3 linked regions of the Lonchura striata genome follow. The protein of the gene in region 2 purifies or fractionates together with the protein of the main gene of each other region. This does not show direct contact. Links are inferred from orthologs where the notes say so. Each region holds a gene or a part of one and is shown on either strand. Other genes may lie near its edges.

The links. Proteins that work in one complex are often made in the same cells at the same time.
Region 1: the proteins of CYLD (region 2) and SPATA2L purify together in Homo sapiens (affinity purification with mass spectrometry; 3 studies listed by BioGRID and IntAct, with this or other methods). This does not show direct contact. The link is inferred for Lonchura striata from reciprocal best matches to the Homo sapiens genes CYLD and SPATA2L.
Region 3: the proteins of CYLD (region 2) and MAP3K7 purify together in Homo sapiens (affinity purification with western blotting; 4 studies listed by BioGRID, with this or other methods). This does not show direct contact. The link is inferred for Lonchura striata from reciprocal best matches to the Homo sapiens genes CYLD and MAP3K7.

What each region holds. Positions count from the first base shown.
Region 1 is NC_134615.1:22,853,977-22,860,662, reverse strand, and holds SPATA2L (spermatogenesis-associated protein 2-like protein), read left to right. Parts: upstream 1-4,784; coding exon 4,785-5,132; intron 5,133-5,208; coding exon 5,209-6,021; 3' UTR 6,022-6,185; downstream 6,186-6,686. Other genes in the region: VPS9D1 (VPS9 domain-containing protein 1), read left to right, coding at 1-62, 866-938, 1,022-1,114, 1,202-1,364, 1,628-1,739, 1,878-1,940, 2,090-2,142, 2,221-2,308 and 7 more.
Region 2 is NC_134615.1:11,697,172-11,704,897, reverse strand, and holds the start of CYLD (ubiquitin carboxyl-terminal hydrolase CYLD), read right to left. Parts: upstream 3,008-7,726; 5' UTR 2,906-3,007; intron 2,531-2,905; exon of another isoform or gene 2,284-2,530; intron 1-2,283. UniProt on the Homo sapiens protein: Deubiquitinase that specifically cleaves 'Lys-63'- and linear 'Met-1'-linked polyubiquitin chains and is involved in NF-kappa-B activation and TNF-alpha-induced necroptosis.
Region 3 is NC_134605.1:77,513,757-77,521,558, reverse strand, and holds the start of MAP3K7 (mitogen-activated protein kinase kinase kinase 7), read right to left. Parts: upstream 3,002-7,802; 5' UTR 2,871-3,001; coding exon 2,781-2,870; intron 1-2,780. UniProt on the Homo sapiens protein: Serine/threonine kinase which acts as an essential component of the MAP kinase signal transduction pathway. Plays an important role in the cascades of cellular responses evoked by changes in the environment.

The sequences.
Region 1 (6,686 bases), about 11 Mb from region 2:
TGCAGGCGGCCATGAGGGCGGCCAGCGGCGCCCTGGGCATGGACAGCGCCGGCCGGAGCAGGGTGAGCGCGGGGACGGCCGGGGAGGGACCCCCGCGTTCGGCCGCATCCCCGGGATCAACCGCCGGGCTCATCCTGCATCCCCGGGATCAACCGCCGGGCTCATCCTGCATCCCCGGGATCAACCCCCATCCCCGGGATCAACACCCATCCCCGGGATCAACCGCCGGGCTCAACCCCCATCCCCGGGATCAACCGCCGGGCTCATCCTGCATCCCCGGGATCAACCCGCGGGCTCATCCCGCATCCTCGGGATCAACCCCCATCCCCGGGATCAACACCCATCCCCGGGATCAACCCCCGGGCTCATCCCGCATCCTCGGGATCAACCCCCATCCCCGGGATCAACCGCCGGGCTCATCCTGCATCCCCGGGATCAACCCCCATCCCCGGGCTCATCCTGCATCCCCGGGATCAACCCCCGAGCTCATCCTGCATCCCCGGCATCAACCCCCATCCCCCGGACTGCATCCCCGGCCTCCTCCTGCATCCCTGCGCTCCCCCCGCATCCCTCGGCTTCATCCGCCGGCCTCACCCCCAGCCGCGGGGCAGCACCCCTGGGGTCATCCTGCATGCCGGGGCTCATCCTGCATGCCGGGGCTCATCCTGCATCCCGGGGCTCATCCTGCATCCCGGGGCATGCCCCCGGACTCGTGGCTCACCGGGGCAGCTTCCCCGGTCTGAGCCGGCACCCCTGGGCTACGCCGCATCCCCGGAACTCCCCGCGTCTCCCACTGGGAGCCGGAGCTGCGATCCCCCGAGGCCGGGGGGTTCCCGGGGTCCCCGCTCAGCCCCCACCTTGGCAGGAGGCGTACGTGGAGTACCTGAAGAGCATCACCCTCATCGCCCAGGCCCTGCAGGAGGAGGCGGCAGGGACAGGTGAGGCAGGACCCCGTGTCCCCCCGCCGAACCCGGGCGGTCGGGGGAAGCCCTGCAGTGCCCTCAACACAGCCTCCCCGCAGAGAGCAGCGAGGGGGTCACCCCTGACACCCCGAAACTGCTGAAGCTGGCGGAGCAGTGCCTGGAGAGGGTCAAATCCATCGCAGCGGCGCTGGGTGAGTGAGGGGTGGGGGTCCCGTGCTGGGCAGCCGGGTGCCCACGCAGGGGTGAGGCACAGCCGGCCTGTCCTGCCCCCTGCCCAGGGAAAGCCCAGGTGAAAGCGGCTGCACAGGAGCGGGGCGGGGGCCCCGCGCCCCTGCCCCGGCACCGCCGCGTCTGCTCGGACGAGGGGGGGAAGCTCTCGCCGTTCCTGCCCCCGGAGATCTTCCAGAAGCTGCAGATCGCTGAGGCACAGAGCGCACGGAAGTACGGGGGGCTTGGACCCGGAGCTGGGACAATGGGGCTGGAACAGAGCCTGGCGGAGCATGGGGGGCTGCTGTGGGCTGGGATACAGGCGTTGGGACGTGGGGGGCTCAAACACAGCGAGTAGGACATGGGGGGTTCAAACACGAGGGTTTGGGATACAAGGACTGGCGGTGGCCCCGCGCCCGCCTGGGGAGTCACGGAGCAGGATGTGGTCCTGGCACGTGTCCTGTGCCCTGTGGCGAGTGCTGAGGCCGTTCCTGCAGGGAGCTGACCCCGCTGGAGGAGGCCTCCCTGCAGAACCAGAAGCTGAAGGCGGCCTACGAGGCGCGAGTGGCGCGGCTGAACCCGAGCCAGGCCGTGCAGAAAACATCCCTGGCAAGTGCGGGCTGGGGAGGAGCTGGGAGCTGGGCAGAGCCGGCAGCCAGGCAGGGAGAGGGTCCCTGGGGGAGCCCCCCTCCCCACTGGTGGCCGTGGGGTGTGGGTGATGTTCCCAAATGCCCTCCTGCTCCGCAGACGCTGTCCCTGCAGCGGCAGATGATGGAGAACCTGGTGATCGCCAAGGCCCGGGAGGAGACTGTATCCTTCCCAGTGGGATTGCTCCACCCTGGCCTGGGTGTCACCCACCCCACACAGGCCTTTGGGGTCCCAGCTGGGGGATGGGGGAGGGCAGAGGGCAGTGGGTGAGCACGGTGGTGGCTCTGCACCCTTAACTGTGCCCGGCCCAGCTGCAGCGCAAGATGGAAGAGCGGCGGCTGCGGCTGCAGGAGGCGGCCAACCGGTGAGTGGGGCTGTCACCGCAGGGACCCTGGGCTCTGGGGACACCCAGCAGTGCCCTCATGGCCCGGGCTGTCCCCAGGAGGTTCTCCAGCAGCGTGGCCCTCACGCCCGAGGAGCAGGAGCAGCGGGCACTCTATGCTGCCATCCTCGAGTATGAGCAGGACCATGTGAGTGAGTGTGTGCCAGGGGCTGCTGGCAGGGCTGGAGGCTGTGCCATGGGGCTGGAGGCTGTGACAGAGGGCAGCAGGCTGTGCCATGGGGCAGGAGGCTGTGACTGAGGGCAGGAGGCTGTGCCATGGGGCAGGAGGCTGTGTCACAGGGCAGGAGACTGTGCCATCCCCATGACCAGCCCTGGACACTCCCCAGGACTGGCCAAAGCAGTGGAAGGCGCAGCTGAAGCGGAGCCCGGCGGATCTCTCAGTGGTGTCGGGGCTCTTCTCCTGCCTCCTGAGGTACTGCTGGGCTGGGCACGGCCCTGCCAGAGCGAGGGGGCTGCAGCTGCTGCCGGTGCCCCCTGCCCACCCCATCGCTCTGCCCACAGCTGCCCCGAGCACCCCATCACGCAGCTGCTGCGGCGGCTGCAGTGTGCGGTGTACGCCCGGCTCTACCCGGCCGTCAGCCGCGGCCCCGCCGACGCCTCCCCTGCCTCCCCCTCGGGTCTGTCCTTCCTGTCGCTGGACGCGGGGGGCTCCTCGCTGCCCCCCGAGCCGGGGGGCCGCCGGCTCCGGGCGTCCCGCAGCCTGCACTGCATGTTCTCGGTGCCCGAGCACGGCCCGGCCGCGCTGCGCCACAGCCGCTCCAGCACGCCCCTGGCCGACGGCGGCGCCCCGGGACCCACCGAGCCCCCCGAGACCCCCCGGGAGAGCTCCTTCGAGGACCTGGAGCGGTTCCTGGCGTCCCCCGAGGGCTGGGCCCCCGCAGAGCCCCCGGCCAGCTCCGCACAGGACGCGGCGCTGCCGGAGCTGCTGAAGGGCGTCGTGAGGGACATCCACAACGCCATCGGTGAGGGACAGCGAGGGGCTGCGGGCGGGCGGGGGGCTCTCCTGCACCCCGGGGCACAGGGTGGGCAGGACGGGGGGGTCCCAGCGTGCTGCGTGCCTCGCCCTTCCCAGACAGGCTGCTGGCTCTGACCCTGCTGGCCTTCGAGGGGCTCGGCACCGCCGCCGGCAAGGACCAGTGCCTGGCGTGCCTGGAGGAGGCTTTCTTCCCCCCGCTGTGGGCGCCGCTCCTGGCTCTCTACAGGTACCATGACCCGCCTCGGAGGGCACCGCCGAGCCCTTCCCGGCACCCCCATCACCTCCGTGCCCGCAGGACCGTGCAGCAGCCCCGCGAGGCGGCCCTGGCGCGCAGCATGGAGCGGCACCGGCACGCCGGCCCCGCCGACATGGGGCTGGCGTCGCGCCTCTTCCCGCCCGGCGCCGGCCGGCCCGCGTACGCCTCGGCCGTGCGGGACCTGCGCCTCATCCCGCTGGAGACGTGTCCCCGCAGGAAGTTGGAGTGCATCGGTGAGCGGCGCGGGGGGCGCGGGGCCGGGGCGCGGGGCCGGCCGCGGTCACCCTGACGCCCGCCCCGCGCCGCAGTGCGGGCCCTGCGCGGCATCTGCGAGTGTGCCGAGGAGTACTGCGGCAGCCGCGACGCCCGGAGCCTCGCCGCGGCCGCCATGTGAGTGCGGGAGCTACGGAGCGGGACGGGCGGCTGCTGTGGCCGGTGCTACGGAGCTGCGCGGTGAGCTGCTGGCGTGCCAGTCCCTGTGGCCGCCGTGGCTGATGGCCTCTGTTGTCGCAGCGGGGCAGACGACCTGCTGCCCATCCTGTCCTACGTGGTGCTGCAGACGGGGCTGCCGCAGCTGCTCTCCGAGTGTGCCGCCCTGGAGGAGTTCATCCACGAGGGGTACGTGCGGGGGTGCGGGGCCATGCAGGCACCGTGGGCTCGGGACACCGGCGCACCCTCCCGGGACAGGGCTGAGCCCGGTGGGTGTGGTGGTGTCGCGGTGGTGACACGGGTGTGGGCGCAGGTACCTGATCGGAGAGGAGGGGTACTGCCTGACGTCCCTGCAGAGCGCCCTGTCCTACGTGGAGTCGCTGCAGTGAGGAGGGGGCGCCGCGGGACCCCCGCGCCCCGGGCAGGTGCTGCGGGTCCTCCCGCCCGCCGGGGGGCGCTGTGGCGCGGGGATCGGCCCCGCCCCGGGGGCGGAGCTACGGGCGGCGCGTGCGTGCCGGCCCGGCGCGCGCGGAAGGGGAGCGGGAACGGAGCGCGAGCGGGGCGGGCGGGGGAACCGGGACCGGGGACCGGCAGGTGCGGGGGAACCGGGGCCAGAGCGGAACCAGGGACCGGCAGGTGCGGGGGAACCGGGACCGGAACCAGGGACCGGCGGGTACGGGGGAACCGGGACCGGGACCGGGGACCGGCAGGTGCGGGGGAACCGGGACCAGGGCGGAACCACGGGCCGGGTGGGAGCACCGGGAGGCCTCGGCGCGGGGAACCGGGGGAAACCAGGGCCGGCGAATGACACCGGGAGGACTGGTACCGGGAGGCCTCGGGGCAGCGGAGTTCCGGGGCTGAGGCTTCGGCGGGGGGGTCTCACCGGTTCGGGAGGGGGTGCCGGGGTACCGGGGTGGGGTCTCACGCCGCTGTACCCGCAGGATGTGTGCAGGCTCGGCGCTGCGGCAGGAGCACCGGCAGGACTACGGGCAGGAATTGCGGCAGGAATTCCAGCAGGAGTACCGGCGCTCGCTGGAGCGGGAGGCCGGCCCCGCCGGGACCTGCCCCGGCCCCGCCGTGGCGGAGCGGCTGCGGCAGCGGCTGCAGCGGGAGCCGGCGCTGCTGGAGGCCCTGCAGGAGGACGCCCTGGCACTGCTGGCCCGGGGGCTGCGGGACCACCCCGACCCCGGGCTGGCGCTGCGAGGCTTGGCCAGCGCCTTCCGACTGCTGGAGCTGGCGGCCGTCAACCTCTACCTCTTCCCGTGGCGCCGGGAGTTCGGCACCATCCCGGTGAGGCCCTGAGGTGGCAAGGGGTGTTGTGGGGGTACCCAGACACCCCCGGCCACGCTCCCCGCTCTCCTTGCAGACCTTCTCCGGCGCCTACGTGCACCTGCTGCGCCCAGCGCTGCCCGAAGCCGACCTGCTGCGGAGTTTGGGCCGCCTGGGCTACGAGCGGCGGGACCGGCACCGCCTGGCTGTGGGCCGGCTGCCGCCGGGGCCCGCGCTGATCGCCGCCGCCGTCGGGTTCCTGGCCTGCCGCCTGGAGTGCGAGATCCTGGCGGAGCTGGCGCCGCGGCTGCCCCGCGCCGAGGAGCTGCTGGAGGCACGGCATCGGGCCGGGGGTGCCAAGGGGCGCCTGGAGATGCCGCAGGACCTGGGGACGCGGCGCAGGGCGGCTCCCGACTGCGGTGACGACGTGGATCTCTACCAGGAGAGGCCAGACAGCCCTGAGGACATGGGGAGCAAAGACACAGCCCCCCCAGTGCTGTGGAGGGACCCTCAGGATGTGCCCAGGAGGGGCTGGGGACGCTGCGACAGCACACTCGGGCCAGAGCCTGTGGGCAGCGCTGATCCGGACACCTCCTCTCACCTCTTCCCGGAGCGGGAGCTGGTGGGTACCAGCAGAAACCCCCAGGTGCTGGGGGAGCTCTGGGATTCCCCCCAGGCCACGCCAGAGCTGCCCTGCTACCAGCTGCACTCGTGCCTGCACCGGGGCATGCTGCCCTCGTACTGCTGCAGCACGTGCCGGCAGCTGCACGGCGGCGGCTGCGCCGTGGGACGCGCCTGCCGCAGCCGGCACCGCGGCCAGGAGCTGCGCGGGGAGCGGCAGCAGCGCCTGTGGCTGCAGCGCACCGAGCTGGACATGCTGCTGGCCAAGGGCTCTGCGCCCCGCTCCTGACGTGGCTGCTGCAGCCGCTGCCCCGGGCAGGGGTGGGCACGGCCCTGCTTGGCACAAGGACCAGGACTCGTCAGCCGCCGAGACTGCGGAGCCCAGGCGCTGCTGCAGCCCGGGCGCTGCTGCTGTAAATTATTCAGTGCATCAGTAAAGTGGCTGTCTCAGCACGAGGTGTTCTGTCCTGGTGAGGGGGAGCAAGATGCCTGGTCCAGGGGCAGGGGCTGCAGTGATGCCTGACAGCACAGCACCCTGCAGGAGCAGCTCCTGTCTTCCTCAGAATGGGGGCAGGATCCACTTAAAGGGGGCAGAACCTGGGGTGTTAATGGAGGCATTCTTGTCCCCAGAGGAAAGGAGAGCAGAGCCACCAGCTGCTCCTGCTGGCACCTAAAAATGGAGCCACCCCACACAATGTTGTCACAGATGCTTTTATTGATGGCAGAGTCGGGGTTCCCCCCAACAGACAGCACAAACCAGGACCCGCCTGGGACAGGACTGACCCTGCCAAGCCTGGGCGTCCCTGGGCCCCATCTCTCCTGGCTCTGGGGCCACGCTCACCCGGCTGCAGACCGGAGCCTGCCCCGTCCCGCACGGGCCGATGCATGGAGGAGCCGTCCCCATGGCGCTGGGACTGTTGGACTGAGGGACTCCACCTCAGCCAGGACACATCA
Region 2 (7,726 bases):
CAGTTTCAGAAGCTATTGGAAAGCAATGAAATCCAGCAGTCCTGTAATTATTTCCCTCATCTTTTTAAACAGAATATTTAACAAAACCCTTTCCCCAAAGAAAAGCAGTAACTACAGACAACCTGAAACCTGGGCAGTGCCTCATCTTTCAGTCCCTAGGAACTCACAGATTGCTGTGCTGCCTTGGTGAGGCTCTTGTACCATGCACAGATGTGACACGTGGGTGTCAGTGTCACCACCACAGCCCCACACTGCTGCAGCAGCTCGCAGCAGTGCTGTGCCTGAAGGAGCTTCCATCTGCCAGGTAAGAAACTCCTGAGGGGCAGGATCCAGGCAGGCCCAGACCTCACTGAAGGAAAGTCTCACAGACCATCCATGGGTTTCCAAGTTAAAAAATATTCTTCTTCACGTTCCTCTGATACACATAAATGGACTTTAATGTTTGTTAATGATTAACAAAAAAAGTGGTGTGAGCATGGGACTCAAATAGTTTTTGTGGAAACTGATGAAGAACACAGCAAGATTCCTCCCCTCCTGCCTCACATGGAAACATGATTAAATGACCATTAGTTGTTTGTAAGTCTACTCAGATAGTAAAATAAGAGTTGGATACAAGTTCTGAGTAATTTTCTCCCTTTAATTTTTTCACACAATGGGAAAAAAAACCAACTGTCTTGTTTTGCATAGCTCCATTCTCTGTTCTCAAAACCATTTATGTTCTTTCAAGAGCTAACACACTTCACTTTCCTTTTTCTTCTGAGCCATTCCACAGTTTCCCAATCTCCAGCAGACTGCAAACAAGTATCTCCAACATTATGGGGATCCTGATTTTTCCTACTTCATTTACAGAAATAATTACTTTTAATTTTCATAAGTATGAATGGAAATAATATATTAAAAGAGAAAGTCTGTTCAACAGCTTAAAAAAGATTAATAGATTTTTTAAAAAATAAGATTTATCATACATATTTTTAATAAATGCATCTTGTTTGCAAGTCCATTGCTTCAACAATAGAATCTTCACATGTTTAGTAGTAAAGAATTCAGTCAACAGCTGCACTTAGATTATGTAATAACTTTATGTGGTGTGTGGTCTGTCTTTCAAAGCCCTAATTACCCAGAGATGTTACTAAACTCCCTGGCTATAGTACCAAAAGGCTTTCCTTTATTAAAGAGTTCATTATCACTACATAAAAATACCTTCCTTTAAAAACTTATCTACAACCACTGTCCATACTGCTTTAAAAACCAAATACCCTTCTTTTAAAATAATACAAGTGATGAATTAGTATTTTAAGAGCACAGAAAAGCTTGTTAAAAGGACATTAAGTTTTGGCAATGCACCAAAAATACATTTACATACACCACCGATTTTAGGATTATTCTTAGAGCCATTTCCCATTAAATTCTGTGAGTAAAGAAAAATCTTTGCTGAACAAGCAGCACAGTCGTAGCAGACTATGACCAGAACAAACTATTAGACCACTGTATGATTAACTTGGGAACCAAGAAACTTAATCCTTACCACAAAGTCACCCCACACAACACACCAGCAGCTTCAGGACTTGTGCAAACCCAAGAGCACTTGACACCAACAGGAACAATTTAAGTGTCAGAGCCTGTTCAGCTGCACTCTTCTATTCCATCCACTACCCGAATTTTTTCATGCTCAAAAGACTTCAGGAAAAACAGGCAAAACACAATTATGACTGCAACACTACATACTTCAGAAGAAAAAGACATTTTTAAAACTATCAGGGGTAGGCCATAAGCTACCTAACTTCAAAGCTTCCCTAATTTCCTTTATTCCTCAGTTATGAGTCACTGTTGTCACTACAGAGACATCTCATCAGAATAACAGTTTGCTCTGAAATTCAAGAACTCTGTTTCTACCCTGCAGGAGCCTTAGATGCACTATATTAAGAAGTTTAAACCAGCTATCAGGTTTCAGAATGAACACACGTCTATGGCTCTGAATCAGAGTATAAAATAAAAAGGCTAAAATAAACTATACGGTTTCTTTAAAAAACTGACACTTTAATACCAAAAATAATTAAACCAGCTGAGATGCAAAGTTCTGTTCTTCAACAGCCCCAAAACAATTTTCATGGCAAGGTTAAAACTAGGAGCAAGGAAATTTAGTTGCAGCTCATTGTACAGAATTACATGTCGGCTATACAAGCTATGAGTGAAGAAACAGAAACTGTTTCTCAAAACACCGGTGGAAACAATGAAATACAAAGATGTTCATACTGGTAGCATGATTCTTAAAAGAAAATGCACCTGCAGCTGTGTTCGGCGTCACAAATCTGATACAAATAATCCCCGTGAGAGGCAGAAGAGGAATCATTCCCAAAGGCCAGAATGCTGTGGCGTTAGTAGATTTACCAATACAGCCGCTCTGCAGACACCTCGCGGCCAGGCCTGCCCAAAAAATGAAATATGTGCGCTCAAATTCCGAAATGATACCGAATATTATATTTCACTGGTTCCCTCACAGAGTGTTTCACGGCAAGGCACGTCCGTGCGACCCGCTGGGCTCCGTGCAAGGCTCAGCTGCGGAGGACAATGATCCTCGCCCCCGCCCAAACCTGAGCATCACCTCCGCTCCCCGGGCGGCTCCGCGCAGGACGGGGAAGGAAAGTCCCAAACACTTCAGGCGCGGCCGACGCTGCTCGGGGGGCGAGGCTGAAGCAGGGAAAGGCCCGGCAGGGCCCGCCAAGAGCGGAGCCACCGCCACCCCGGCCTAGCGCGGCCCCGCCGCTGGGCCCGGCCCCGCAGCACCGCAGCGGCGGCGGCACCGCCCGCGACCCCGGCCGGAGCGCGGCCCGAGCCGGCGGCCGCGCCCCTGCCCGACGGCGCCGAGCGACTCCCGCGGCCGCGCCCGGCGCCGCTCGCTCCTCACCTCCTCCCGCCCGCCCGCGGGTCCGTCCCCGAGCCCTCACGGGCCCGACGCGCCGGCCCGGCCCGCTCCGCGCTGCCCCATCGCCGCCGCGCAGCGAGCGCCGCACACCCGCTCCTGCTGCCGCGGCGGGCCCGCCCCCTCGGCCCTCCGCCGCGCCCGCAGCCAATCACAGCGCGCCCGCGCCACCGCTGCGCAGCGCTATTGGCCGCAAGCGCCGCCACTCACCAGCGGATTCGGGGTTTTCCAGCGCATCGCGCTTGTCTGAGCCGCAGGGAGGGGGCGGACGGCGGAACACGCCCCCTGCAGGGCGCTGATTGGTCGCGCGGGGCGGAGGGGCGGGACTTCTGGCACACCGGAGGCGCTGATTGGATGGCGCGCGCGTGCCCCCAGCGGCGGGGCGGGCAGTGCGCGCCCGTGTCGTGCGCGTGCCACGCCCCGGTCCGCGCGGGCGGCGCGGCCTGAGGGCGGCTCTGCCTGAGGGCGGCTCTGCCTGAGGGCTGCGTGCTCGGCGCCGCTCCGCCCCGACCGAGCCCGCCGCGCCCCGCTCCGCGTCCTGAGCCGGAGTCGCCGGGTTTGTGCCCGGTGCGGCAGCACGCGGGGCGCGACAGACGCTCCTCGGGAGGCGGCAGAGACACCGCGGGGAATGTCCCCGGGAGGGGAGGCGCAGCGGCCCCCAGGGCCCAGAGCCGGCTCGCGGATGTCAGGCTTCGGTCTGGCTTCAATACCCGCTTCTGAAATATTTTTACTCCCAAGAAATTGAATATTTCATGTAATAAAAGCCAAATGTAGTTCTTCTTTAACCGACCTCCTTTTCCGTGTGCCTGTCATAGAATGCTGAGCTATTCTATCCACTTAACAACTTCCACTGTTGCACTAGTAAGTGCTGTTTATAGATAGTGAGCTCTGCTTAAATTATGAATGAGGAAAAGAGCCCTGGAATAGAAGGGAGTTTCTCAAAAGAACAGTTAGGTTTAAAGACTCCATTTACACCTTCAGCATCAAAAAAAACATGTTTTAAGAAGATACATTTTTATTCATGTAAGATTCTAAACTAGTGCTTTATGATTAATTTAAAAATATTTCTAAAGTTTTGCACTTTTACAAGTGGACTTCCTACAAAGAAGCATCTTTTAAGGATACAGCATTTGATCATATACCTCAGGAGGTTACAGTAATAGTGGCATATGAATAAACACTTCCCTGGTTTCTTAGCACCTGTAGCATTCCCTTAATGTATGTTTTTATGTAATTTAGTGACATGTGCAGTTCAGCGTTAGCTGAAGGCCGTTCCAGTTCTTCCCCATAGCTCTCCAGAACCCAGAGACAGACAGACAGCAGATCCAGCGCAGCCCCAGCTCAGGGCTGGAGTGCCCATTTCTAAGTTCTGAAGCACTGTGAGCCACTCCCAAGGCTTTTGCTAGGAAGATGGGAGGGCAGAACAGGGGGTTTTATTTGTGTGGGTATGTGCAAGATGGAAAGGACACAGACACCAGCAGGAGTTTTTTGGGAAATCCCGAGGAAACAATGAAATTCCATCTACTACAAATGAATGCTCACACTAATCATTCCACCTAGTTCCTTAAAAGAAAAATTGCATTTCAAAGCCTCATTGAATTTTTAAATAAATAACACTGAAATTATATTACACTAAACAATATACAAAGATTTATGCCTTCCTCATTTAGCAGAAGAGCACAAAGTAACCCCAAGTCATGCTCTGCTGATCCTCAAGATGGCTATCTACACACGGCTGCTGCAGCTTCTGCTTGTGGAGCTGCCTTTTGTGCTACTGCAAACTGCATTAACATGTCTGCTATAACTCCTGTTATCCTAAATTTCATTATGTTTACATTTTGGGTATAAATAAATCACATGTGGAACATGACTGCAAGTATTAGCCAAAGTACACCATAATTATATGTGAGAGGAAAAGGGGACAGACACATTATGAGCATAGAATATCAGACTTCTTGATAGGAATGACGACATGTAGTGATGCTAATAACTCACAACCAAATATTTAAAAATACTCTGTATTCCATGTAATTATGCACTTAACCCTCTGTGAATTCAACAGGAAAAATGACCAACATGGCCCATTCACAAAGCCTGTCATTCTGCAGACAGAACAGTGCTTGTGACATTTAACCCAAGTTACTGTCCTGCTGACCCACTGGGCTTGCACACAGCTCCGTGTCACTGACAGACCACAGATGAAAGGCAGGCCACGACTGCTGTTTACTCTACAGCTCCTTCATACTCCTTGAGTTGTAAAGTGATAACAGGACTTTGGCAGTGTACAATGGGCCTGTTACATCTCTTTCATGTTGAAAACTCTGTCAGTAACACCAGCACGAGACATTTGCCATTAAACAACGACTGATTTCTTTAAACCACACTCTTGTTAAGAGAGACATGTTTTGTAATAATGAAGTATGGTAAACAAATTCTAGCATAAACAAATTATAGCATAGCATGGAATAGAATTTTATGTTGTGCCAAGACAGGAGTATGGTATTCATTTTTCACAGCATTGCCCCAAAAGTGCAGAATATTCATCAGAACAGATGATTTTTTTTCAGCTAATTCAAACATTGAAATGGTTGGTATTTATCCAGCTGCATTAAAAAAAAAAACAGAGAGGAAAGGGTCTTGTAGAAGCATCAAAGACAATATGACTGCACTTTCTAAATATTAGTTATGTGATAAAAAGGGACTTGGATAAATATGTCAGGTATTTCTGCCTCCCCTTGTTTGTTTAGGGCTTTTTGTCATTATCTACTGTTTTAATGGATGATTTAGTAAAATAGATCATATTTAGCTAAATACTTTGGGGCTTGAGATGGAAAAACAGCACAGACTGTGAAGTTGCCTGAAGCTGCACTTCTTAGGACAGAAGCTGGATTGCATTTTGTAATAGGGCTATTACAGCCACATTCTTTAACAAGAGTAAGACCTCGTTCTGTCTGTGATAAAATGCCAATAAAATCCACCAGAAAACTGCAGTTCATATATGACATTGGTTTAGCTGCCAAGTTTTCCAGCTGATACCAGCTTTGTAGCCTATGGTTAAATATTGTATCTATCAGGGTTTGTGTAATCTGTCTGATTGGGAAAATGGGGACTGCCCAGATCAGGATATAAATCAAGGCAGAATGTTTGATATTGGGGCAGCAGTCCCTTTTGGTTCTTTAAGTATCAAAAGCACATAGCCTTTCAATAGTAGCAGGCATCCTTTATATGGCATCACAATGCTGCCTCATCTCTTGGCTTCTCACCAAGTTTTGGCCATAAACTTCCCAGTTATTCTTCTTAAAATGAGTCATTTCATTCTAAATGGGTATGGAGGACATAAATCACCTGACAGGCACATTTTATGCACTGCACTGTTATGATTTTAACCTTGCCTCACTCCTGCATTATTGCAGAGCACACATTTTCCATATCCCCTGGTAGGTGCATTATAACACAGTGGTCTATGTCTGGCAAAGTCAGTGCTTTCACAGAATACAAACTCGGAGTGAGCCACTGCATCAGGATCCCTTTTCCATCCCTGACAATGACAGAAAATGCTTTTCCATTAAAATTTACCACAGTTTTATGAGTATTAAGGTAAATTGATGGTCTAAGTGCACTTGCCTGTCTCTCAGAATGCTTTGCTACCATTGTGAAAATTTTCTTTTCAACTGCTTAACCTTTACATAATACTTGACTGTTGGAAGAATAGCTGAGAATATAAAAAGAGATATTAGTTATGCCTTCTGCCAGCAAACAGTACTGTGTACTGCAGTGTGTTTTGCATGTGCTGATCAAGTAGACACTTAGCAAGGTAAAATGCTGCCAGACTAACAGCACTGGGTCCCAGTGAATGGCAATGTGCTGTTTGGACCAAACCTGAGCTCCTGGGAGCAGGATGAGCAGTAGCAGCCTGCCAAACCTGCTGTGGATGTCCCAGCTCCAGGCATGAGGAGCACCCCCAGGAACCAGCTGTGACCATAATAGCTGCCTCTATTGAGGCAGGCAGAAGTCTTGTGGAATACCTTTGATTTGTAATATAATATTACATCTCATTTCTTTTAATCATCCTGGTTAATTTTACTAGAACTTACTTATTCTGAAATAATTGAAAATAGAGCTCACAATATACTGAAAAATGCACTATTGTATTTTCTTTTTGCTTTACCAAGAGCAGGACAATAGCACTAAGCATCACAAAATATACTGCTTTTTGGCAACACATAAATTAACTGTTTCCATATTCAAGGTTTAGGTACATCTGTACACTGTCAGCATGATTGAAATACACTGAAATCCCCCTCAGTTTTTGCTCACAATTGTAACCAAACCCATAAATCTAGCTTTAAAGGAATGAGAGTAGTGCCAGAAACCCATGCCTTGTCTTCACTTAAAAGAGTTGGCTGGTATAGCTACACCTTAGAGCTGAATTGGCAAGTACAGATTTCTTTTTGGGTGTAACTTAAATCACTTTTCTCATGGAATATGCTAAAGTGGCTGAAGTACTCTGCCAATATAACAGCATCTACTCCAGGGCTTTTGCCAGTGTGGCTGTAGCTGCATGCAAGGGATTTTTCATCATTCTGACAGCTATTTTGGCAAAACTACATTTAGACCAAGTCCAAGTTAAAGTTGGCATTGTTTTATGTTGCAAATAAAGCAGAAGAGAAGTATTACCAGTTTATGGCCCTGATTTTACATTATTTTAAATTGTTTGTTCTAAAGGAATGTGTGGGGCAGGATCCATGTGGTCCTTTGGATGTTTGCCTCCCACATTTGTGCTGCATTAAAATTGCTTGGTTTTTC
Region 3 (7,802 bases), on a different chromosome or scaffold from region 2:
TAGTAAAATAGAGAGCACTTCTGTTGAACTAAATTTTGTGTTGTTTCCCCTGTTTTAGTTTTGAAGATGCTCCTGCCGTGTCACATCGATTTTGATTTTACTCCAACTCCTTCATAACAATTGTCTCTATGGTTTACTTCATTTTAAGCACTTGAAATAACAAAAAGGCATTATGATGGTGGAGATATGTTTGACTGGTGGGAAGTAACACTACAGCTGGTCATGTGCACAGTAGCTAAAGGAAAATATGTTAATTCTTGGTTTTATCTCAGTAGAGTTCAGACAAAACTAAATGAAAAGTGTACTTATAGATTTCACGTTTATTAGCAAGGTCTCTGGGCCTGCAAGTATTCCAGAACTTCAACATCTATTAATAAACCAGTGTCAGAGTGGGACTGCTATCTGCTGACAAGACAGCCTTGATAATACAACAGCAAAGCTATGATTATAAAAGCAGTTGAGTTTCCAATGTAGATCTCTTAACACTCCATTTTGAAACATTTGAAGTTTGCCAAGCATAAATATGACAATTTTGAGACGTTTTTGAGACATACAGCCACTTAAAATCCTTGAAAACCTCTGAGCCTAAAGTGAGAGCACAGAAAATCCTCAGCAAGGATGTGTGTTTTGATGTGACTACAAAGTTGACTATTTGTGCTGAAACTGCATCCTGAGTAAGAGGTCAACACCCATAGCTCAGAAAAGCAAGACCTAAGTATGATTTCCAATCCATCTGTTTTCTTGTAAAGTAGGTCTTATTTCTTCCTCTGTGCAAAGACATTTGACTGTGTTTAACACTAGGGTATTCCCATTGTCTATAAGAACTTCTGGGAGGACAGGTTAACTCAAAACGATATGCCAGCTTTAACAAGATTTTTTTATGGAGACACTATCAAAGTTCTATTCTCTTGCTTATATCACATGAGTTTTGCATCTCTACGAAGATACTGTGTTGAGAATAACAAAACAACTGTATTAAACAAATTTTTACTTAGGCATTGTCTCTAGATACATTTTTGTACTGACAATCCTGTTTCTGCCAGTACCAGGCACATGTGTGGGACAGTCAATCTCTGAGCACTAAACCTTAGAATACTAAACTCTAGTTACACCAATTACACACTATGCAGCTCCACGTTTCCTACATGTAAAACAGCAATACAATCCTTGCTAACAACCTCCCCAAGTGTGTTGTGAGGATTAAAGATTTGTATAGCACTTTATTAATTCAAAGGGCTACATCTAACACAGCAGATGTGGCACTCACTTCCGTGAGCCATCACTGGGCACCTTTTTACAATGGATAACCAGCTTAAACTTTCTTCATTGGGTGAGAAATGCTATTTCTCCCAAAATAGGCTATTTGATCCCCAGCTATTACTAAGTGTTACAAAAACAACAAAATTACTTCACTTCAGAATAGTTAAATGCATAAAGGCAGGTAGAACAACTTGACTTACAAAAACAAAAGTCTTTATGGTTGCCAAATTCACAGAAAAAGATAAAGGCAGTATTTTGAAATATACTGTCTTCTGAAAATTCCCAGCACCCAGTGCCTGCTATGGTGAAAGCCGAAGTTATCACAACACTGCCTGAATACAGCAGAAGGTGCCCTGGTGCCCCATGGCAGATTTTAAGGTCCCTGAATTATCCTCAGGAGACCCAAGCCTAGTAGGATAATTATAAACAAACCAGTATCTAGCAAACTACTCTAAAAACCTGAGACACAGGTTATCATACCTAGAAAAGCTACTACACAAAACTCCACTTCCACACAAACTTTTTAAGGAAAACAGGGTAATTATCTCTTAAAGAGAAAAATGTTAATCTATAAAAAAAGCACAGGGACTGTTTCAGCAGTCCAGACTCTACAAGCTGGACTCATCAAATTTGTTATAGATCTACATGAAGAGACTTTATTCCTGTAGAGAATTCAGTAGGTGACAGGAAAAAACAGCAGAAATATTTTTGTGTACTTCTGAGAGTCAAACAACACTGTAGTATATAGAGACTACTGAGCCTGTTATCAAAGCATATGAGCTACCCTAGATCACACCCCCCCTACTTTCACATGAACCCGACAGATGAAAGGTACACCTGAAATAATTTCACTATGTGAATTTCACAGAAGAAAAACTTCCAACTTTGTTATAAAATTACTGAATGTGACTTCCTTAAATATCCATGAGTGCAACATAACTAGCCCATGTTAAGAAAAAAAAACCCTGTTTATCGTAACAGCTCACAGAGCTGTAAATTTAGCAAATCATTAAGAGCAGCATGATCGTTATATACACAATGGCTCAGTTTGGTGGCAGAAGGTGAAAGCAGGGCCATAGAGAAATAGAGATCTAAAAGAAACATTAGAGTTAACAGTTCCCTCTTGACAACTATGCTTGCCACCCATACTAAAGTGGGTGGCAAAATGGGAGGCGAAACTTTAAAGTCCTGACTGAATAAATCTATCCCGTTTAAACAAAACTCCACAGTAAGGCATCCAGCAGCAGGTCCGGCAGAAGTAAGCTGGCACCTCCGCTCTCAGCCAGCCAGACCGCTTTGTTCGCTGGTGCCAGCCGCAGTAGCATCCACAGGAGCAGAGAACCCCCGGTCAGGTACTGGGGGGGTCTGGCACCCCGGAGCACCCGCGAAGCCCCCGCGGACCCTCCCGCAGCCGAGGGCCGGCGCCAGGGAGGGGAACCCCGGGGGCGCTCGGGGTCTGCGTGGCGGGGCCAGGCTGGCCGCGCCCGGGGAGCGAGGGGCACGGCGGGACCCTCACTCACCTCTTCCACCTCGATCTCTTTGTAGTCGATTTCTTCGAAGTTGAGGACCGGGGGGGTTTCAATCATTTCAGCGGAGGCGGCAGCAGACATGCCTCCTCTTTCACCGCAGGGAGGAGAGGGGGCCGGGGCTACGCGAGGGTCCGGCACCAGGCAGCCGAGGGCCGGAGCCGGGGCTACGCGGGGCTCGGCGGCGGTTCCCGGCGCAGGTCGGGGCGGGCCTGGCCGAGGCGCCGCCGGGGCCGCATCCGCGGCGGCCTCGGGCCTCACTGGCGGCGGGCACAGGCCCCGGCGCCGCCGCTGCGCATCCCGAGCCCTCCCGCACCCCCGCGGGGCGCCGCGCCGACTGCCCTAGGCCGCGGCCTCCGAGCAGCTCGGGACCGCCGCGGCCGCGCGTCCGCGGGCGAGAGAAGGCGGCGCCCCCGGGGCCGCAGCCGCGCTCCTCCGCCAGCCCCGGCGGCGGCAGCGGGAGAGGGGCCGCGGCGGGGGTGGGGGAGCCGCTCAGAGCCGCGCCGCGGCCGCCGCCGCTGACATCAGAGCCGCTTCCTGCTGCCCCGGCCGAGGAGGGAGGGACGGAGTGAAAGAGCGGGGAAGGGAGGGAGGGAGGGAGCGCCAGGCGGGGGCGGGCGGGAAGCGCCGGCAGCAGCGGCCTCTCGGGCGGCCGCGGCGGGGCCACGGCCTGGCGGCGGCACCGCCCCCGCCGCGCCCCGCCGCCGCCGCCAGGGGGAGCAGCCGCGGCCCCGGGCCGGCCCCGCTTCCTGTTCCTGCCGCCGGGGATGGGCCCGGCGGGGTCCGGGCAGCTGCCAGGCGCGGCCCCGTCCCGGGCTGCGTGTACCGCCCTGCGAGCGCGGGGGCCTGTTCCCTACATACATACGCACATGCCTTTTTCCTGGGTGTGTGCCTGTATTTCTCCAGGGCAGCAGGTGCTGTACGGCGTCTTGGGACGAGGGCAGGCCTTGTGCTCTTCAGCGGTGCTTTCTCAGGGGAAACCTGTGTGTAGGAGGGCAGCTGAGGAGTGGGGGTAATGGAGCGGTTGATGTAAACAGATAGTAGTACTAAAGGGATGGGGGATGAACGTACACCTTAACCGCTCCCTCTCCAAGGGAGTCCTGTCCGCTCTTTGCCAGGGCTGTATCCTGCTCCTGTTTTTGGCTGGAGCACCCACCCCATTAGTGTTTCGGTGGGAAATGTCTGAGACTGACGCTTCAGGGCAGTCCATGGTGTGAAATCAGTGCTGAGATGAGTGAATAGAGCTGCTGTGTTCCCCTGAAACAGCTGTGCTTCATTTTTATATGTTTAGCCTTCAGGCTATATATAAAAAGTTATGTTATTGTACAATACTATTAATAGTATGTAATTTTAGTACATCTAGTAAGCTTTCCTAGATCTTCCACTGCTAGCATGCTAGTGAATGTCTGTACCTCACAAGGAAGTCTCAAAAATGTAGAGAGATCTGGTTTACAGAGCTAGCCTGAGAAAGTCACTTAAACAGTTAACTAGTAAAAAAAAAAAAAAAAAATCAAGGATGAATATGGGAAGTGACCTAATCTTATGGTGGCTCAGCTGTTGTTAAAAAGCCAAAGTGAAAGTACCTCTATCAGAGCTGCTGCACTTTGTGGCAGGTTGCCATTATGGGTTGTTTGCTCCCCTCTTGTGTTTTTCTGTCAGCTTTTGTAATTTGCACAGGGTTTTCAGATGTACACCAGTCCAGAAATCCCAGCCAAGCAGTCACAGTACATGTTGACTCTGTGGCATGCAAGATGAAACTCGTATGCAGGACTGGTTGGGTTGATGCAATTACATTGCCCAAGCAATCTGCGTATACGTGGCGAGCAGACTCATATGCTGACTGTGCTGAGTTTCTGCTGTTCATTTTTGATTTTCAGATATGGTTTGGTGTAGAAAGATCTAAAGAATCTTCTGTTAGTCCAAGTACCACAAAATCTGGAAGTAGATATCAGCAGATATTAAAATCCGAAGCAGATATTAGACCTGCTTCATCCAGCAGTGGGGTTATTCAGAACCCCTGCTTTTCCAGGTTGTTTATAGGTTTGGATGTTCACACAGACCCTGGCACCACCTTATACCCAGTGAAGTGTTTAATTTTCATTTTTTCAAAAGCCACTATTAGTGCATGTCTTGGTCATGCTGTGACACAGTCATAAAGAGCCATGTTTATACCCGGACTTCACAACTTACAGGAAAGTGTATCACTTGAGTAAGCAGCTGCTGCTGTCTCAGCTGCTGGAGTATGCAATATATTGATTATTGGAAGATGAAGAAAATGGATTTCTGAGGGATTGAGAAAATTGCAAGTTCAATAAAAACCAGACTTTTCAGTCTGGTTCATACTGGCTTCATACTGCTGAATGAATTGCTTTAGTTCTTTAAACACTTGTAGATCAAGACAAGGAACACCTGAAGTCAACTGAAACCAAGGAAAATGCATGAATGAAAAGAAAACAAGGTGTGAAAATCCATCACTGGATACTTGAAATCCATAATCTTGATACTTAGTTGTAGTCATGAACATGCTTTCAGGCCAAAAGCTTAACGTTTTATTTATTTTTTGGGTACATATGCATTGGGAAAGATGAACTACATCAGTACCTTTTAGAAAGATGGCCAAGAGGGTGGTTGTGCTTTAGACGTTGGCAGTTGGTGATCTCTGGTAAATGTAACTGAATATTTGGTTTTTTTGTTATGTTTCACAGACCTCTCCTGAGGGTATGTATCAAGCAAATGGCAGTTGCAGTCTTCTGTTTTTCAGTGGAGAGACTTTTCTGTTACCTTTGTTATACTTTGTTGATGGGTATTAAGACAGCAGAAGAGAGCATTCCAATTATAGTTGCTTGTAAGGTTCATTTCCTTTCAGAAATTGATGTGGAAATATGTATCAAAAATAATGAGCTCTTTCTTTGTGAAGGCAGAATCATCATCATTATCAAAATGTCACTGCTGTGAAGATCAGGAGGGGTTTTAAGGCTGTGGTAATTTTGATATTACTTTTTTTTTTCCTTCTTTCCCGACTGACATAATCTTAATTAGTTACAATTAGCTATTTTGTGGACTGAGTATTGGTTGTGCATCTCCAAAATATTTATTCAACAAATACAGGAGAAAAAGGAAAAGAAAAGCTATATCTGTTGTGTTTATTTTGGACAAAAACTGCTCTTGTGTTTTGGAGAAAAACCTGGAACCTGGGAAATCCACATTCTGGGTCTCAGTAGCCTCTCTCTAACATTGCAAAGTAGTTACACTGCCTGGTGGGTGATCACTTGAAGATTGTTGGAAACATCTGGGTACCATAGCCAGAGTGTGCACACTCAAAGCTGAGACAGCTGCTGTGGAGCTCTTTGTCACACCTGTCCTAGAGTATAGGGCTCTGTTTTTTCAGAAGAGACAGCAGTAGGTCTGATGCAAAATATAAACAAAGTCCACCTGGACAGCTTAACACACCTGAAGTTTAGCCCTAATATCTGCAGATCCTAATGAAAATTTATCCAATATAATATGGAATTGTACAACTTAGAATTTGGACACATTTTCATGAATACAGACAAAAGCACAGATACATTATCCTGGCTACCCTTTGTCTACCTCCCTTAAAGTTACTCTGACAATTTTTAAAGAGGGGTGAAGAAGCATTATTTTCCACTAATTTAGAAAAAAGCTAAGTGATTTCTTCTTTCAAAAGACTTCAACTTTTGTTGTATTTTTAGTATATGCATTTTTTTAAAGTGGTTAAAATGTTTCACTTTAGGTGATTGAAGATTGAAACTAGAAAACAGTGGAACATACTGGATGGTATCTGCAACTGTAATGTCCACATCAAAAAATGTTCCCTTCTAGATTAAGCACAGGAATGTTTCTGCCAAGTCTAACTCTATTTTGTCCCTGTTAAATATTGTCTTGTAAATATGAAGTTACGTTATTTCAATTTGTGGGAACCCTTTGTGATTAAAGAGCATGTCTCCATAGTAGTATGGAGAACACTATGAAACACGTGCCCCACAAATTCATATCCCAGCTAGGAGGCATCCAAGAGGAGCCCACTGCTTGTTCCAATGCAGGTGCAGTGGAAATACCTCATGAAGACAGAACACTGTGACTATATTGAGAGATTTCTGTTTCTCTGCATGGCCAAGTTGTTGCGTAATCCACTCTTCTCATGCAACTCCTTTGGTTTGTACATTAATATTTCCCAAGAGCAGGTTGCAATATTGTGTGTGATTCTACTTTGAATCTCAATGAGTTCTTCAATTATGTCCCGCATTAATCGTTTGCAAAGTCTTGGGAAACATCACAAAGGTGTCTTCTGCCAAATACATTGAGATAGCATGCCCAGCATGCTTCATGTATTTTTATTGCTTCTTTTGCATTCTGGGAAGACTTCCCCACACTATGTAAAATCTCCTAAACAGCTATTAATTCCTTCAGTGGGGGTGTTCCTTATTATTTGTGATAAAATGCATATATTAAAAATACCCTGAAAAAAGCTTTGCAAAATAAATGCGTGAGCTGCTTTGCTAAATAGGAAACTCAGTTGTATGCAAGGAATTGTATTCACTTTAGTAAAAGGAAAAGTTCTATTGTATGAGTATTACAGAAACTCAAATGATCACATTTGTTTCTGAACCTTATTTTGCCTCTTAGTCTGAGATGTGTTAGATCTCCAAGATTTTTCTAGTAGTCTAAACCAAAAAGAGAGCCAGGAAAGTCAAATAATGCAGCCACTGTGCAGTAAGGGCAAAGTAAAGGTGAGAGACTGTATAGATTCAGTCTTGTAACCAAACAAACACATTTTCTCTGGCACAGCTATCATCAGCTGGACTTGGCTTGGGAGAAAGGTAGTAACAAATTTCACATGGAGAAGAAAGAGATAGATGACTGTAGACTGGTTGATCTTGAGCTGAGAAGTCTGAAAGATATGGTACATGAAATTGCTGATGGAAGATGTGTTAAACAGAGGTGTCAATGTAGGTAGCTATAAATTAGCAAAGGTATTTTAGAAAGATGCAAAAA